2 linked regions of the Rhinolophus ferrumequinum genome follow. The protein of the gene in region 1 interacts with the protein of each later gene in a pairwise test. Links are inferred from orthologs where the notes say so. Each region holds a gene or a part of one and is shown on either strand. Other genes may lie near its edges.

Region 1 (8,208 bases):
GTATCACAGTTTTTTCCCTTCAAAGAAATGTAATTTAAATTACTTTTGAAATGCTATAGGATGATTTAAAGGATTTTAATTTAGAAAAAACTTAGATGTAAAAGTGACTGTGGTATACTGGCTATTACCATAAATAGTGCAATAGATATTTCCAAACACTTCCCTGAATGTATTGAAATGATGTATGATTGGAAACCAGCTTAGGCACTGAGCTTTCAACACTGTTAATATTCAAATAAGTAAAGTCTTTTGAGCACAAATCCACAATGCCACAATGTACATAAAAAGATTATTTCCTCTGCTACATTTGTAATCATTTTAACAACTTTAAGAGTACTTCCGTTTAAGTACAAAGCTATAATTTAAAGCAAACTAGTCCCAAATATCACATTATTGTGCCCAACTAACATTACAAGAAAGAAAATGTATAATACATCATAACATCAACTTTCAGTCTTAATGTGAAATATAATACAAAAGGGGAGAAAATTTCCAAAATAAACTACCTCACCTATTCTATTAAGTTCATTAATAAAATAATTATAAAACTTAATTCGCATTTATTGAAATATGAGTATCATTAAAGGTAAAAAATAATTGCTACATCATTCATGAGCTGTCCTCCAAATTCAAGGAAATAATCAACTTGCTATAAGGGAAAGACACCTACTAATGAGTGTTCCCAGCACAGGCACATTTATGTTTTCAGCCTTAGCATATTTTCAAACCATCTGGCATCAATACCACTCTGGATCACCCAGCCTAATCTGTTCAGAATTGAATATAAAACTAAAGCTACATGCACTTTGGGGAAACCAAAGAACAGCACACATGTAAAATAATGTTCCAAATGTGCAGCTCGAAACTAGTTTATACTTGAAATGTGTTTTTAAAAAAATTTCCATTGAAGATGTTAAAGCGCTCTTAAAAATAGTAGAATGGTTCAAGAAATCTGCATGAATCATAGCTGTCATCAGTTACCCAAGTCTTAATTCTTTTTTTCTCATTTTCATCCTGATTATTAAATAAAGCATTTGAAGAGGTTCTTTTACAAAAAGATTCATTGATACATGAAATGCTATCACTTCTGTGTTGAAAGGATCCAAGAATTTACATTTTATCTTGCATAAAATTAGTCAGCTTAGCCCTAAAATGCTTAGAGTAAGCAGAGAAAAAGTGAGAGGAAAAATATTCATGACAGCCCTTTCTCTTTTATACATCCTGTTACCGCATTATTGTCTTTGGCAGAACTCAACATTGCTTTTGCTTATAATCAAGAGTCCAAACTGCTACTTGAGAAATTTCAAAAAATCTATGGATATACTAAGGCCAATATCCCTGTTAGAACCAACTTCTGTTCATCCTCACTGTTGGCATAAAAACAAACGTCTGCAGGATAATTTGTCAAAAGCTAAGATCATTCACGTAGCACCACATAACACAAGTTAATTTAAAGCTTTCAGACAAAGACTGAGAAGCAATGACCAATACCAACAAATCTAAACGTGCATTTGTGTAGGTACCTACACACATACACTCCAAGCAGTCACCATTCCTGGGGGAAAGCTGCTTCTTCCTCCCTAACTGTGAACCATTCTATTTCCCAGTCCTGTGATTTTCCCTTTTCTGCTGCTATCCTCTTCACCTCCAAGGGAACTGCTTCTTCCTTTCAAGTTACATGGAATCCCAACCTAATCACATTACGATTTCTCGATCAATGAGCCTTTGCTTACATCATCGCCCCCCACCCCACCCCACCCCGCCAAGATTAGCCTCTTCTCTTGTTTTTCTTTAGAGCTGGGGCGAGAGATGAGAGGGCACCTCTGTGAATTCCCGCTCTGACCAATCTCTTCCCTATATCCCTCCTCTATCCATCCCCTTTCCCGCTTCCTAATACTCCTACCCGAGTCTCGCATGGAATCCTTGCCAGAGCTTCATCCTTCACTAACCTAAGCTAAGGATATTAAGGGGTACCCGTTCTTTCTCTGGGGTTTTGCTTTTTCCTTACCGTTAGCCAAAGAGGGGAGAGGGGGGGGACACGCATGAAACAAAGAATTTCAAGTCTCTTGTACCAAGAACTTTGGTGGAAATACACGGGGACAGGGCATCCCTCGGGGCTCTTCTTTCCTGCCATTAAACCAGTTTCCTCTCCTATCTCCTTCCCAGCCCTTCATTCCCCGCAAGGATGAGGCGATTGTTTCCTTTAGGCCCTAAGCTTGGAGCAGTCCTTGGTCAGCCTCCTTGTTTCCCTCCTGAAAGGGACCGGTAACAATTCCATTCTCTGTAATTAACTTCACCCTAAGTCCCAGGGCTTCCTTAAAACGCAATACAGTTCTTAAGGACTCAACTCTGAGTCTTGCCCCAAAGCGGGGGCACGGTCTGGCCCCAGAGTCGGGTACAGCTTTCCCCGAATTGTTTCCCAGGGCTCCAACCCAAATGCCAGTGCGCTCAGCTCCAGCAAGAGAATCTCTCCTTACTTTCAGGGAGACTGAGTCCTCACCAGGCCACACGCCCCCCAGCAGTGCAGGGCTCCCGATCTCCCTTAGGACCCTAAACATTACTGGGGTCCTCCATCCCTGCGGCGTCCTCCCCCCGGGAGACCCAGTCTTCACACTCCTCAGCAATCCCAAGTTGCTCAGCCCTCTCGTAGGCTGGGGGAGGCTGAGATTTTCCCTTACAGAGCCCACTCCCCAGCTCCTTCCCCGGCCGCAGAGACCCCGCATATGCGAAGGAAGCTCAGGGTCTGCGGCCGGTGGCGATGCCCGGCCCAGGCAGGCCCGGTCCCTCCCCTTCGGACGCCCAGCGCCGGGTCCGCCCCGCCACGCGCAGCCCGGAGCACGCTCAGTCCCCCCGGGGTCTCTACCCTGGGGCCGCCCTCCTCCATCCGGTCCGCGCGCCACTCGCTTTCCCCGGCCGCCGTGCCGGCCGAGGGCTCTGAGCTTCCGGTTCCCACCCGCAGCCCCGGTGAACCCCGGCCGACTCGTCGCCGAGCCGGCTACCTGCAGGGGCCGCCGCGCCTCTCAGCGCCCCGCCGCCGCCATCTTGCATTTCAAAGCGGCTGCACTTTTCAGGGAGTCAACTCTGACCTGTGAACCTTACACCCGGAACCGCTCGGCGGGCCAGCACACGGCCTCCGAGCTCAGCGGGCCCCGTGGAACCGGAGGGTCGGGGGTCGGGGGTGGGGGGCGAGGCGAGGCGCGCGCCCCAGCGGCCGGCTGCGGGTGTGGAGCTAGAAGTGCCGGCCGAGGCGGGGCCCGCCCGCGCGCGCGCCCTCTGCGCGCCCCCACCCCGCTGCGCGCCGGGTTCTTCACTCCCGGACCCTGCTGCTGCGGTGGGGTTCGACCGCGGCCTCTACCCCCTGAATTGGCGCACCGCGGGAGGTAAGGAGCTGCCCCGCCCCGCTGTCAACAGAAGCCCCGCCTCTGTTTACGGAGGCCCCGCCCCCATCAACCGAAGCCCCGCCTTCTCCAAGTCTCAGAGCGGTCCCGCCCCTTGCGGGCGATAGCTCCGCCCTCTACCAACAGAAGCCTAGTCTTCACTCAGGTCTATCCTGAAGGCAGCTCCGCCTTCTGTCACTGTGGCCCCGCCCATTGAGCGCTCCGCCTTCTTATTGTCACCGCCGGGTCTTGAGAAATGCCCCTTCTCATCGTAAGCCCCATTTCCAGGTGGCAGTTCTGTCCAAACCCCGCCCTGTTTCAACGGAAGCCCCGCCCTCTGTCAATAGAAGCCCCGCCTTCCTGAGGCCCGTCTCGATTCTAGCCCCAAACCTCACGACCTGTCAACCGTCACCCCGCCTCTTGCCTCTAGTGTCCCTACTCCACCACTAGTGGCAGCTCTGCCCGCTGACACCAAAAGTTCCGTTCAACCTCACTTCGAACCGCTGTGCAAAACGGTCCCACCCTCTGTTCCCTCTGCTCCCCGAAAGCCCACCTTTCCCCGCTCATGAGTCACTATTCAGGAGGGCTTTCTTTGCAAGCTGTGGTCCTCAAATCCAGACAGCTTCAGTGTGAACCAGCCCCGCAGAGGGGGCCATCTGAGGGCCTAGGCTTTGGGGAAAACTGGACGTCATCATCGTCCCTCCCCACCTCCCCTTCCCTCAACTCCCACATCATTTTTAAAATGAAGAAAAGTATAAACCAAAGCAAAGAGAAACGACTCATCCTTCAAGCTACTCTGCACAGATTCACGGACCCGGACGTGAGAACTCGGGTGACTTGAGGTTCATCCCCCACCCCTACTCCAGTCATGGACCCTCTGTGCTTTGTAGTGCTCCACTGAACTGCATCAATCCTAAAATACGCAGTTGATTAAAGTGAAAGCCTGATTGTTGAAATCAATGCACAGCTTCTTTTCATTTGTATGTTTCATCTCAGAATACTAGGTGGAAGCAGAAGCAAGCAAAGCATAATGATTTCATAAACAGAGGTTCTCAGTTCTGCCATACTCAACACCCTATATTTACAACAAAAATCTAACATCATTTTACTCTCTTGGAATTAAATTCATAGCTAATGTAAACTACGCAAATAATTTCAAGAAACCAATATTCTAATAACATAAAGGTGAAAAAAGAGAAAGTTTATACTATACTCCAAAATGCTATACTAATATCAACAAAAATTATAAAATGTTTTTCACTATGTAAATAAATACTCCGCACCAATATGAGAACTACAGGACACAAACTGCCCCCACAAAGTTTCAATACGCCCCCTAGGGGGCAGTACTGTGCCCCCTGAGGCCTTCTCTAGTACTTATCTCTGAGGAAAGGAAATGCTTCAGATACAGAAATTCAATCTTTTGTTCATGCATTTAACAAGGTTTTCTGAGCCCCAACGTATGCCAGGCAATGGAGGAGATGCAAAGCTGAGTCAGGCAATAGTTCTGTCTTCAAGGAGATTACAGTCTAGCAACCAAGCAAAAAACATGAACATAAAAACATCAAGTAAGGTTTAAGGTGAGATCAAGGAGAGGTACATAAAGAGACCACTTTAAGGGTATGGAGTGATGAATATAAATCACATCTCTCTCTCTCTCCCTTCCCTCTCTCCCCCTCATCGTCCTTCCCTCTCCCTCCCTCTCCCTCTTCCTTCCTTTCTCCTTCCCTTGCTTTTTTTCTTCCTTCCTTTTTTCCCCCTCCTTTTTCTTCTTTAGCACCAGTTTATATAGTCACCTCCTTCTCTCTATAAGCTGTCTGCCTGATTCACTGCCCAATGCCAGCAGCCTACAGTCCTCCTAATTTAGGGCCATGCCCACAGGGCAATTCTGTCCAGGAAAACAATTTTAACAGCACAGTGCTGAGAACAGTGTCCTTAGCTGAATTGCTGCCAATTATTTGGTATCCTTGTACAAAGCAAGACTGTTACCACACATAAAAACTGGTTGCAGACCTAAGCAATATGAATATATGTTTAGCATAGCAGATTGTGCCAGCCCACATAAATCTGTTTAGAGACCATGCTCACAGAGTAACTTGTTTTTATTAAAATAAACTCATTTGTAAAAATTGTAAATATGACTGATTTCAACAGCTGTGTGGCTCCAGAAGTAAGTTTTTAACCACGGATTGGCACAATTAGAAGAGTCTAGATTTTTTTATGCATATGTTTTACAGTTTGTCATACACAGATTGGTATGGCAAAATTTCAGTACTGTTAGAGATGAGAAGTTGTCCAGCAGTTTTCAAAAAACACAGCACTTTTGCTATTCAGAGCCTCTTCCACCTTTGGAATAGTGAAAAAAAGTATTTGTAGGAAATGAAGAGTTTTGAATCAAAAGTTGTAAGCACTGGTGCAATCTGAAGAGGAATAGGCTTCCAACAGCATTTTTTTGTAGTAGTTTCCTTGTTATTTTCCCCCCTTTTCTACTCTTAGTGAAAAAGTATTCTAAAAAACATGATACCATGAAACAGATCAGCTGAAAGGACATCAGACTAAAACCCTTTAAACTTTTAACTATATAGTTCAGTGAACTTGACAATTTAGCACTAGTGAAACACTCCCACAATTCTAATGGCTACTTCAGAAGGTGAACAAAAATGTTCCTGTTAAAGCTAGCTCAGACTGAACAAACTTCAAAGTCAATTTAAGGTCATTGCCTATTCCTCTTAATGCTAGCTTTGTGAAAACAATAATGTTATTGATAATAACAGTAAAAACAAGTTAATATTGTTGGTAAATGCCCTCCCCACTCCACTCCTTTTTTCCTGTATCTAGCATAAGACCACATCTAGGACTATAGGAACAGGAAAAACTGTTTTCTCAGTATTTATTCAAGGAGTAACATGTTGATATACTTTTTTAAACATCAGAGTATCATCTGGGTTGTTTCATTCACTGTTGTGTACTCTATTTCCACCAAAAAGTTGGTGGCTATGTCTACACTATGTCTGCAAAAAAAAGGTGCCAATGTATCTTTTTTGACCTAAAATCTTAGGATGCAAAACAGCCTAGGGGAACACCCAACTAGAAAGCAATAATAGAGTAAGAAAATGCAATGCTTCCTTGTGTTTGAAATTCTTGGCAGAGGAGTCTAAGCAGCAGTTCTAAAACTAAAAGGTGCATGAAATTATTGGGGAATTTTGTTTAAAATGTAGATTCTCAGACCCCGCTCCTTCCCAGGACTCTAATTCAGGACGTCTGGGATGAGGTGGTGAAATCTGCATTTGACAAACAGCTGGTGACTGTTATGTAAGTGATCTATGTAGAATTGACTCTGAGAAATACTGATCTAGAAAAAAAGCTGATAATTGGGGGACAACGTAATGCATTCTTGTAGAACTAAAGGTTTCAAGCTATAAAAAGTCAGTATCTCTAAGGAGAGAGAGCCATTCCTAAAACTGTCAGTTGCTTGGACATAAACACTGAAAGAGAAATTCTACTTTTGGACCCATTGCAGACTTCCATCTTCCAGGAATCTCTGGGTACTTTAGACGTACTATCTCATTTTACCTTCCTGGTGTCTGTGTGAGATAGCCACAGTTAACAAAATGAGGAAACCAAGGTTTGAAGTGGTTAACCTACCCAGTTGCTCAGTAATCTGCAAGATTTTGAACCCACCCTGACCAATCCTAAAATCAAATGAAGATGCTACATAGGCTGCTTCTCAGAAGGAAAGTATTGCATTAGCCAGGGCACATGTGCGCAGGATTTGAGAACACTCACTGGTGTTGGAGTCAGATGGTCTTCTGTTCACGTCCCAGATCCTCTGCATGTACATTTGTTGCTGCCTAACAAATCCACCAAAACTTACTGGCTTCAAAGTCTAAGCAATTATTTAGCTTGTAAGCCTGTGGGTCGGCTAGGTGGTTCTGCTGATCTGGGTCAGGTTTGGCTGATCTTGGCTGGACTCGCTCACGCCTGCGTTCAGCAGGTGGGTTGTCTGGGGGCTGCCTGGTCCAGGATGGTCTCATTTACATATCTGGCAGTTGGCTGTTAGTGGATCACCTAGGACTGGCTCGTCTAGGATGGTCTCACACCTCCAGTGGTTGGCTGGCTATTGATCACAGGGGTGACTGGGCCTTGTGTTCTCATCTGCCAGAATAGCCTGGACTCCTTCACATGCACAGGGTTCTAAGAAATCAAGAGGCAGCATTTAAGACCGCTTCAGCCTAGCCTCAGAACCGACATACTACCATTTCTGCCACATTGTAGTGACCAAAGCAAGTCGCGGGGCCAGCTCAGATTCCACCCCTTGATGGGAGCAGCTGCAAAGTCACACTTTAAAGGATGAAGATACAGGAAGAGCAATCAGTCATGGCCATTTTTGTAACTCATTTACCACAGTAACTTTAATTAAAGGCAGGTTTCTAAGCCTCTGTTTTTACGCATTTGTAAAATGAAGGTAATACTACAATTGTTGTGCCCCATGTTGAAGGGTTGATAGTTCATGCAAAGGGTCTGGTTTATCTTAATTTCTCAGATGATGCTGATGCTATCCTCTAGGGTCTTTCCAGCTGGAAAGTCTTATGTAGCTGTGTGAAGAGAGATTAAGCTGCTTTTGTTTGGTGGTCCCTCAGGGTAGGACTTTGGCCCTGATTTTCTCTCTTGATTTCATGATGTTCCAGTTAATGCTCTCTGCTTGTGGTACAGAAACCCACTCACGCTAGCTCAATTAAAGAAGCCAAAACTACTGTTTGTCCCTGCATGTCCAGCCCATCCTCTCCTCCCGTGACTCTCCTTTTATACTTTTTTTTTCTTTTAAGGAGGG
Region 2 (8,076 bases), on another chromosome or scaffold:
AAAATTCTGTACTTCTAAATCTTGTAATCTATAAATTCAATTACTTTCTCTTTCAGCAACTGTCCTTTAAAGAAAATACAATTAGTAATAAAAACCCCAAAGTGTGCTAACTTTCACTTTTTCTTTTACTTTCTTTGCCCATTCTGGGGGAGTTTTCAAACTAGGGATAAGAAAAAGAGAAATTAATGCAAATAAGAAAGGACAAGCCCCATGAATGGCAGGCACTGTGTGAAAGGTGACACCGGGCTCAGCTAGAAGAGGGAGGTGGAGAAAGCCTGGAAAGGCAGGGCTGGGTGAGGGGTAGAAACAGAGACACGCAGCTGTCAAGGAAGCAGAACTTTCTGTGTCTGACGTTCTCAGCGCGGTTAAATAAAAAGAGAAAAGGAAGTTGTGTTGTCTGCAGCTTTTCTCCGACTTTATCTAAATATTGCATGTGAGCAAAAGAGACCATCAAGCGATAGGTGCAGAGATAACGACAGAATCATTCAGGAAATACTTTCGGACTGTAATAATTTTTAAGAAAGTGTAATTTAGCACTACAATTATTTGCTTTTAATTTTAATGCTCCCCTAGATTTTTAGTACCTACCCATTTCACCCAAGAAATCTAAAATGTTTTACATAATTTTCTTCAGCTGTTTGATGGACTTATCACCAGGTATTTCCTCAACATACCAGGGAGAGGGTTAGAATACAACAGGACATTTTATGTTTCACTATTAGAAGATAATTTTTTCATGAACTATTTATTTAAAATTGTTACTTATCACCTAAGACTTTTGAAAATTTCTCTCAACACTGTTGGTATAACAAACCTGAAACCTCCATAAACATAATGTCACTTTTAATTTTATGTCAATTATGCAAATCTGAAAAAAATCTTCTCTAAATATTAGAAAATGGAGGATCTTTCAGAACAAGATACAGTTCCAAAGTCACTGATGGGAAACTAATGTTTCCTTAAACATGGATTTGTGTGGGGAGGAGCATAAATACCCAATCACAACTATCATGAAGGAAGAGAATAAAAAGGGAAATCTTAAATACTATACTCCACAGGACTGGGTGTTAAAGAAGCTCAGAATGTTTCTCACATGTTTTCCTTTGTTAGCACAAATAGTGGTAATGAGAGAAAAGAATTTCTGCCTAACGTGGCCCTGAGGGCCATGTGCTCAGATGCACTGTCACCATCACTGCGAGTAAACCTGGATGAGAACGGGGAAGCCAGTGTCTCCTGTCTAATATAAACTCACTACTGAAATCCTGCATCGGCTTGTCCTGTGTGTAGATTGTGAAAAAACTTTGTCCTCTCTAAATAGTGACAAGATGTTGAAAGGGTATCCCCGAGGAGAAACTGGAGGATGTATATAAAAATGTAAATGTATCTTCTGGTGTTTTATATGTTTAAAGGGAGAAGAGGGAGAAAGGACTCTACCTGGAGCCAACCAGTCTGATGACCTCTGCAGAGGCCAGGAGTCATTTAAGCCCAAACAAAACAACTACCAGAAGGGGGGAAAGAAAGAAGTGAAACCAGGGGTGAAGACAAATAAGGACGTGTGAACCAGGAAGGATACCTGATAAAGAGCTTGTGTAAAACAGCTTAGAATAGGCACAGACAACGGGATTCCATGGACAGGTGTGAGAACAGCCCTGGAGGTTGTGGCATCTTAAAGCACACTTAGTAAAGCTCCCTCACTTTACAAAGGAGAAGGCAGATGCCTGGAAAGGCTGCCATTGCCAAAGTTACAGAACTAGTTGGAAGCAGTGTTTGGGAAAGTGGCTGTTGGGTCCACCCGGGCTGATACTTGCATTTCTTCTTTTCCAAGGTATGGCAATTAGGCCGCATCTGTCCTGGGGCTTGGCTGGATGGAACTGAAAGTGTGAGGAAGCTACCTGGGGGGATGGGGACATGGGCTGTGATTGACAGGTCTGCTTTTATTATCCTGTGTGTCAGGCTCCAGGTTGTGACACATTTTATAATCTGTAGCTCACTTAATACCTTGTTTATCCTGTAAAGTGGGTATTATTGTCCCCATTTTACAGATGACAATAATAACAGGAGCTATTAATTATTGAGCAGTTGTTCCAACCAGGCACTATTATAGGAATTACACATTTTCTCAGTTAATCTTCTCCATGATTCTATGAAATATGATAATGATATCTTTCCTAATTTAAAGATGAAGAAAATGAAACACAAATTGGTAAATAACTTGTCCAAGGTCAACAGCTAGAGAATGTTGGAGTCAGGATTCTAATCCAAACAATCTGGTGTCAAAAATCCATGCTCCTGACAAATGGGGAAGTTGAGGTTCAAAAAGTGAAACCATTTCCTCGATGTCTTCCGGCATTGTAGCTTGAACTTGAACTCAAGCATTCTACACCAAAGTTTGTCTCTTTCTATGTGGTGTTGGAGAAGAGACAGGGCAAAAGCTAGGTCCCAGCTTAGGAGGGAAAAGATGCACAGGTGCACAAACACCCTTTTCATGTTCTATGCGAGCTGCTTCCCTTGAAATGTCCAGAAGCATGCTAGCTGGGCTGTGGTCGGTCCCTCTGTAGTAGCTACTGTACATTCACAGGCAGAAGCAGGAGACGTGCAGCACGAGCCTGACCGGAGCTGAAGAAACGCCTGGACCTGCGCCGGGGACCAGGCCTGATGGCTGGGAACCATGGAGTCGTGCAGGCAGCGGGGGACTGCACTTTCCATACAAATAGAGCTCCTGTCTTACTTACACCAGAAAGTTTTTTAAATTAAAATACGCATAGTGCCTGCTTCAGACTTAGCCACCAAGAATCGCAACGTTGGTAAATGGTAATTGCCATGACAAGGTTGGGTCCAAAACTTTTTGGTTTCAAAAACATGATTTTTAATCATCCAAGGTGATTAGGCACTTGGAAACTAAGCAACACTAGCTAAACTCATATATAGCAATTTAATACCAAAATATTAATTTACCTTTAGAGAAGATAGGGAAAAACTATATTCACATCTAAAATACTACCTATTACAAAAGACTATGAAATCAGCCAATCAGAAGTTAGAAACACACAGAATAAAATCAAAGGAAGTTTGTAAAATCAAAGAACAGCTACAAAACATTTTATTGACCCCTAAGGCATTGTCACTCTGCACTCTGTAGTGGCCAGCTCCGTGGCCATTCACTTCAGCCTCTATCTTGTATTAAATAATGGTTCTTCTCCACTCTGGGGGGAGGGGCTGTTGCATGTTTCATAGCAGGCCACACGTTCCTGTGGTTGTGACTTTTAGTTCCCTCCCTGCATCAGGAAACACCTCTAAAGGTAAATGAGTGAAGAAAATACCATGACAGGGATAGCCTTGCACACTCGCATGCACTCATTTGCAACAGTGCACACTCATTACTAGTAACTGATTGCTTGTGGTCATATCTTACATTGCAAAACTATGTGTTTTATAGTACTGCACATAGACGAATCTTTACTTCTTAAGTCTCCTTTTTCTGGATTGGCAGGTTCCAGGAGATACCGCAGGCACTCGGTCTGAGGGACAGTCCTGTCTGCTCTGTTTTCTAGGATGAGGATCCAGATAAGATCTCATTGCCTTGTCATTGTGATAAGATAGTGAGTGTAAGGTAATAGTTACTTAAACCCACTTTATGTGATTTAAAATAGTTAATCTCATTGATAAGTAACACATTTATAAACCTTTTCTTGTGGTGAGCTGCTTCTGACAATTACCCACATACATTTTACATTTATTTTTATTACGTTCAATTGCCTGATATTTATATTTTTTCGTTTTTTTAATATACATTTTGGGATGTGAACTATGTGTAGATTGCAGCTACAAATCGCTCTATGCAGTAACTAAAGAAATCAATGGAAAATAAGATTCTATACAACTGAAGTTTATAATTTGTTTTTTGAAAAGTGTATATTCTTTCAAGTAAGGGATATCTACGTGGTGTGGTTCCCATGGGAGCAACCAATGTCTTGGGCTAGTTATTAATTTTTTTCCTGATTATGAACAAAGATTTTTTTTTTAAAATGTTACCTGTAACCCAAAGAAATATGCATTGTTAACACTTTCTTCTGCATTATTTCCTTCTAATAGTTAAAGAATGGAGATCATATGTACAAGGTGTGATCAAAAAGCATGGTGAATGTTTAAATTTAAAAAATTATAAGAGTAAAAGACACATTGCCACTAACCCCCCTCAAAAATACTCCCCCTCGCTTTGAACACGCTTAGAAGAATTAGTGTTGTATGGGTGTCCTTCTTTAGGTGGTGTTAAGTCTCCGAAACATTTCCGAGTTGATGACACACTATTCCTTGTGGCCCACTATTCTTTCTTTTTCTCCTCTGCTCCTTTGTCGCCTCTTTGCAATCCGGCAGATAAATTCGTGGTGTAACATAAGTTGTATGGAAATAACTATTTAGTCTTTGGGCCTCCCCCCAACTCCCAGCCCCAAACCACTGGTCCCCACTATTTCCCCCACCCCTACCCCATCTTCCCTCAGCTGAGAGAAAAACGAGGTCAATAAAACTGTTGTAAGGGAAAATAGAGCCAAGATTTTAAGTTCTAGGCAAAATCGATAGGAAACCTGGGGATAACCTATCTAACTTACATTAGTTAGAATGAGAGAGAGTATCTGGGTATAAAAACTGAAATTATGCCTAAAACATTTAATTGGAGAAAAATGTGGTGTCAGTCATACAGTCACTTGTTTCCTAAGGTGAGCTTCCTTTTATACATATTAATATATAATGTTGTCTACTTTATAGATGATTTTTTTTTTAAACCGTCATTTACTTAAAGCTGTTAATTCCTTGCTCCAGCATTTGAACCGGGTATAGCTTGCTTTCTTTGACACCCTTTAATCTCTCTGCTGGATTTAAACGGCATATATTTATGTGTAAAAATAAAATGAGTTGAAGTTATTTGGGGATGTCCCTTGAGAGAACCAAGAACTCTGTGGGGTGTATCAGAACCAGGGCTGTGAATGGCTGAAAGGTTGTTTCTTTGACCTGTTCAAGTACCGCCCATTTCTAAATCCTAACCCAGTCTAGAGGCCAGCTAAGAAAGATTGACGACTTGGATCAGAATCGCAACACTTCTTGGACCGTCTCTTCCCAATGATTTTCAGATCCATATGTGCAATGGGACGCAGAGTAAGAAATTTTGGCCGAAAGGTCTTCCTTCCAAATTCCTAGTGCAGAAAGTCATGAGGGAAAACTTGCGGCGTCTGCAGAAGCACGCCGACCTCAGGGACTTCCTTAACCGACACAGCGGGGTCCTCTCTGGTTAGACCTAGAACGAGCAGTCTCTTCCTCCTTGCACGAACTTGCAGAGTTTCTGCCTAGTTGAAAATGGGCGGCCCTGTCCTTTTGGAGGTCCTATGTGTGTGTGTGTGTGTGTGTGTGCGTGTGTGTGTACAGAATACGGAATCAGACAGCCCTGCAATTCCTTCTGAGGGCAGAATTAAAACGCTATCAAAGCCACGTCCCCAATTTTGCTAACGGGAGCATCCGCTCTCCTCCAAGGCCGGAGCTGCCCCGGCGGCGGGAGGCGGCGGCCCGCAGCGCGGCCGCGCGGAACAATGCGGGCCGGGACTTTGTGCGCCCGTCCGCGCCCGCGCGCCGGCACGTACGTCGCCTCCACGTGTGCGGCCGCGAGGTGCATGTGCGGCTCCGGGAGAATATGCTGGAACCGCAGGACGAAGGGAAGGTGGGTGTGGGCGCGCACGACGCCGGCCTTCGGGAGGGAGCCGCGCCTCGAGAGCGCACGGCGCGGCCGGCCGCACAATAAAGTCCGGGGGCGGGCGCCGCGGAGGAGGCCGCTTGGGAGCCGCGCGGGCCTAGCAGGACGCCGACTGCCCTGCGGCCGCACCGGCTTCCCGCCCGGCCCCCGGCCCGCCGCTCGGCGTGGAGACCCCGTAAGTGCGGGCGGCGGCGGGCCCCTTCCCGGCACCGCCGCCCGCGGCCCTGCACCGCCGCCCCTTCCCTCCCGGCGCCCGCGCGGCGGTGCTGCGGCTGTAAACATGGCGCCCCGAAGCGCGCGCCGGGGAGACGCCGGGGCGCGGGCGGCGGGGGCGGCGGGCTGCTGGGCGACGCCGGGGAGGGGGCCGGGGAGGGAGGGGCCCGGGCCGCGGAGCCGGGGAGGAGGGCGGCGGGGCGAGCGGGAGGCCGGGCTCGCGGAGACGCCGGGGCGGCAGGCGGAGGCCGGCGCCCAGGCCCGGGGGAGGCGGCGCGGCGCGGCCCGGAGCAGAACGGTGGGAAGGGCGCGGGGCCGGGCGGGGCGCGGGGCCGTGTGGAGCACGGCTGGCTGAAGCCTCTCGGGGCGCCGATCGGGTGTGACCGTCGCTCGCCGTCTCTGCCCGCGGAGCTTTGTGTGCGGCGGGCCGGGCCTGGGGGGTCCCGCCCGCGCTCCCCTGTCTTCGGCGGGCCCGGAGGGGGAGGAGGCCCAGAGCGAGACCGCGCGAGGCCTGCTGGGGCTGGGAAGCCGGGGTGTCGCGTGAGCGCCGCCCGCCAGGCTGGCCTTCCCCGCGCGGCCAGGCCTCGGGGCCGGCTCGGACGCTGCTCTGTGTGCGGAGGGCGCGTTCGCTGTAGCAGCTCGTTGTTCGGCAGCGATAGTCGAGGCTGGGCAGGCGGCCCCCAAGGACCCACGCGGGGCTCGGTCCGCGTTCCCCAGGGCTGGGAGCCCGCGACGGCGCGGCCTCCGCCGCCTCAGCAGGCCCTCCGGCCCCTGGGACTGCCCGTGCGGTCCGCAAAGGAGCTGCCAGGCCCTGGCTCTTGGGGTGGCCCTGGGACCCCAGCTTCCACGTGCACCGACCCTCGCGCTGCTCGCCTGGGCCGGCTCTGGACGCTTTACGGTGTGGGCCTGGTGCCGGGCCTGTCCATGGTCCGGTGTGTACGTGGCGCTGCCCGGGTTGTGTACGGTGTTTCCACTGTGCCCGGCATCGTGGCGTGGGCACGGAACTCGGTGTACCTGCTGCTGTATACGGTGTGCTCATGATACCGGTGTGTCCACGGTGCCCCGTTATACGTGGTGTGGGCATGGTGCCCGATGTGCACGTGGTACCTGTGTTACGTACAGTGTGTGGCCGTGCCGGCAGTCCACGGGGCCGGTGTTATGTAGTGTCTGAATGGTACCTGGTGTGGGCACGTGATACCCAGTGTTACATGCAGTGTGTCCGCGGGTGTCCGGTCCTTGCACGTCTGAGGTGTCTGAGCTCAAAGCAGGTGGCCAGGTAGCCTTTTCAGGATGGGTGTCTGAAGGTTGCATGGGTCCATCCGATTCTGAGGTTAGGTCCTGGGTCCTCCCGTCTACCTCACCCAGGTGTTTTGCATCCTACTGTGGGCCTTGTCCATGGAGGCAAGAGCCTGCTGAAGCATCATCTGTCCGTCAATCTGCCCGTAGAAAGGCAGAAAGTAAAACGTTTACTTACTTTACTTTTAAACTGAGAAATGTAGTTGAAGTGTATGTAGTAATTGTGGGATGCATAACCATTTCAGGATTTTGGGTCACTGATTCTAATTAATGGTTGAAGTTATCAGGCAGATAGCGTTGGTTATACTTGAAAAGTTGGAGTGCTTTTTGGTTAGCAAGGTCACCTTTGATTTTTCTGAATTCTAATTTGTTCAAGCGGGAGATGAAATACGAATTTTGTACAGGCATGTTATTTTCCTTGTCGTTGGTTAATTCGTGCTGGTTACAGTCATTATTTTGGTGGACTCTTCTTTATAAGATGGCCAGGCTGGAAAATCAAAGATTAGAAGATACAGAATGTGTTTATGACATAGTAAAATATTTTTCTTGCTTAGCTCTGCCTGTGGTTAACAGGATTTCTTTTTTACATCGTATTTTTTTTTAACACATGTGTTTCATATGACTGCTGAATCTCCCTTTTGCATTCTGTAATTGGGTGATTTAATTTTTGCACTTACCTTTTACAAAGTGTTTAAATAAACATGCAAGTGCTTCCAGCTTTACAAAGAAAAAATCACAATGTTAAAATTTAGCTCCTTTGTTCCTATTGAATATTTCTCAGATATCATTGTGTTGCTACTTTGAGTGAATGTCATCTTGCATGTTTC

The links.
Region 2: the proteins of ZHX1 (region 1) and ZMYND11 interact in a two-hybrid assay, tested with the Homo sapiens proteins (2 studies listed by BioGRID and IntAct). The link is inferred for Rhinolophus ferrumequinum from reciprocal best matches to the Homo sapiens genes ZHX1 and ZMYND11.

What each region holds. Positions count from the first base shown.
Region 1 is NC_046297.1:60,658,599-60,666,806, forward strand, and holds the start of ZHX1 (zinc fingers and homeoboxes protein 1), read right to left. Parts: upstream 3,240-8,208; 5' UTR 3,087-3,239; exon of another isoform or gene 3,000-3,086; intron 2,976-2,999; exon of another isoform or gene 2,864-2,975; intron 1-2,863. UniProt on the Homo sapiens protein: Acts as a transcriptional repressor. Increases DNMT3B-mediated repressive transcriptional activity when DNMT3B is tethered to DNA. May link molecule between DNMT3B and other co-repressor proteins.
Region 2 is NW_022680364.1:419,500-427,575, forward strand, and holds the start of ZMYND11 (zinc finger MYND domain-containing protein 11), read left to right. Parts: upstream 1-5,029; 5' UTR 5,030-5,151; intron 5,152-5,503; exon of another isoform or gene 5,504-5,707; intron 5,708-5,773; exon of another isoform or gene 5,774-5,915; intron 5,916-6,173; exon of another isoform or gene 6,174-6,251; intron 6,252-8,076. UniProt on the Homo sapiens protein: Chromatin reader that specifically recognizes and binds histone H3.3 trimethylated at 'Lys-36' (H3.3K36me3) and regulates RNA polymerase II elongation. Does not bind other histone H3 subtypes (H3.1 or H3.2).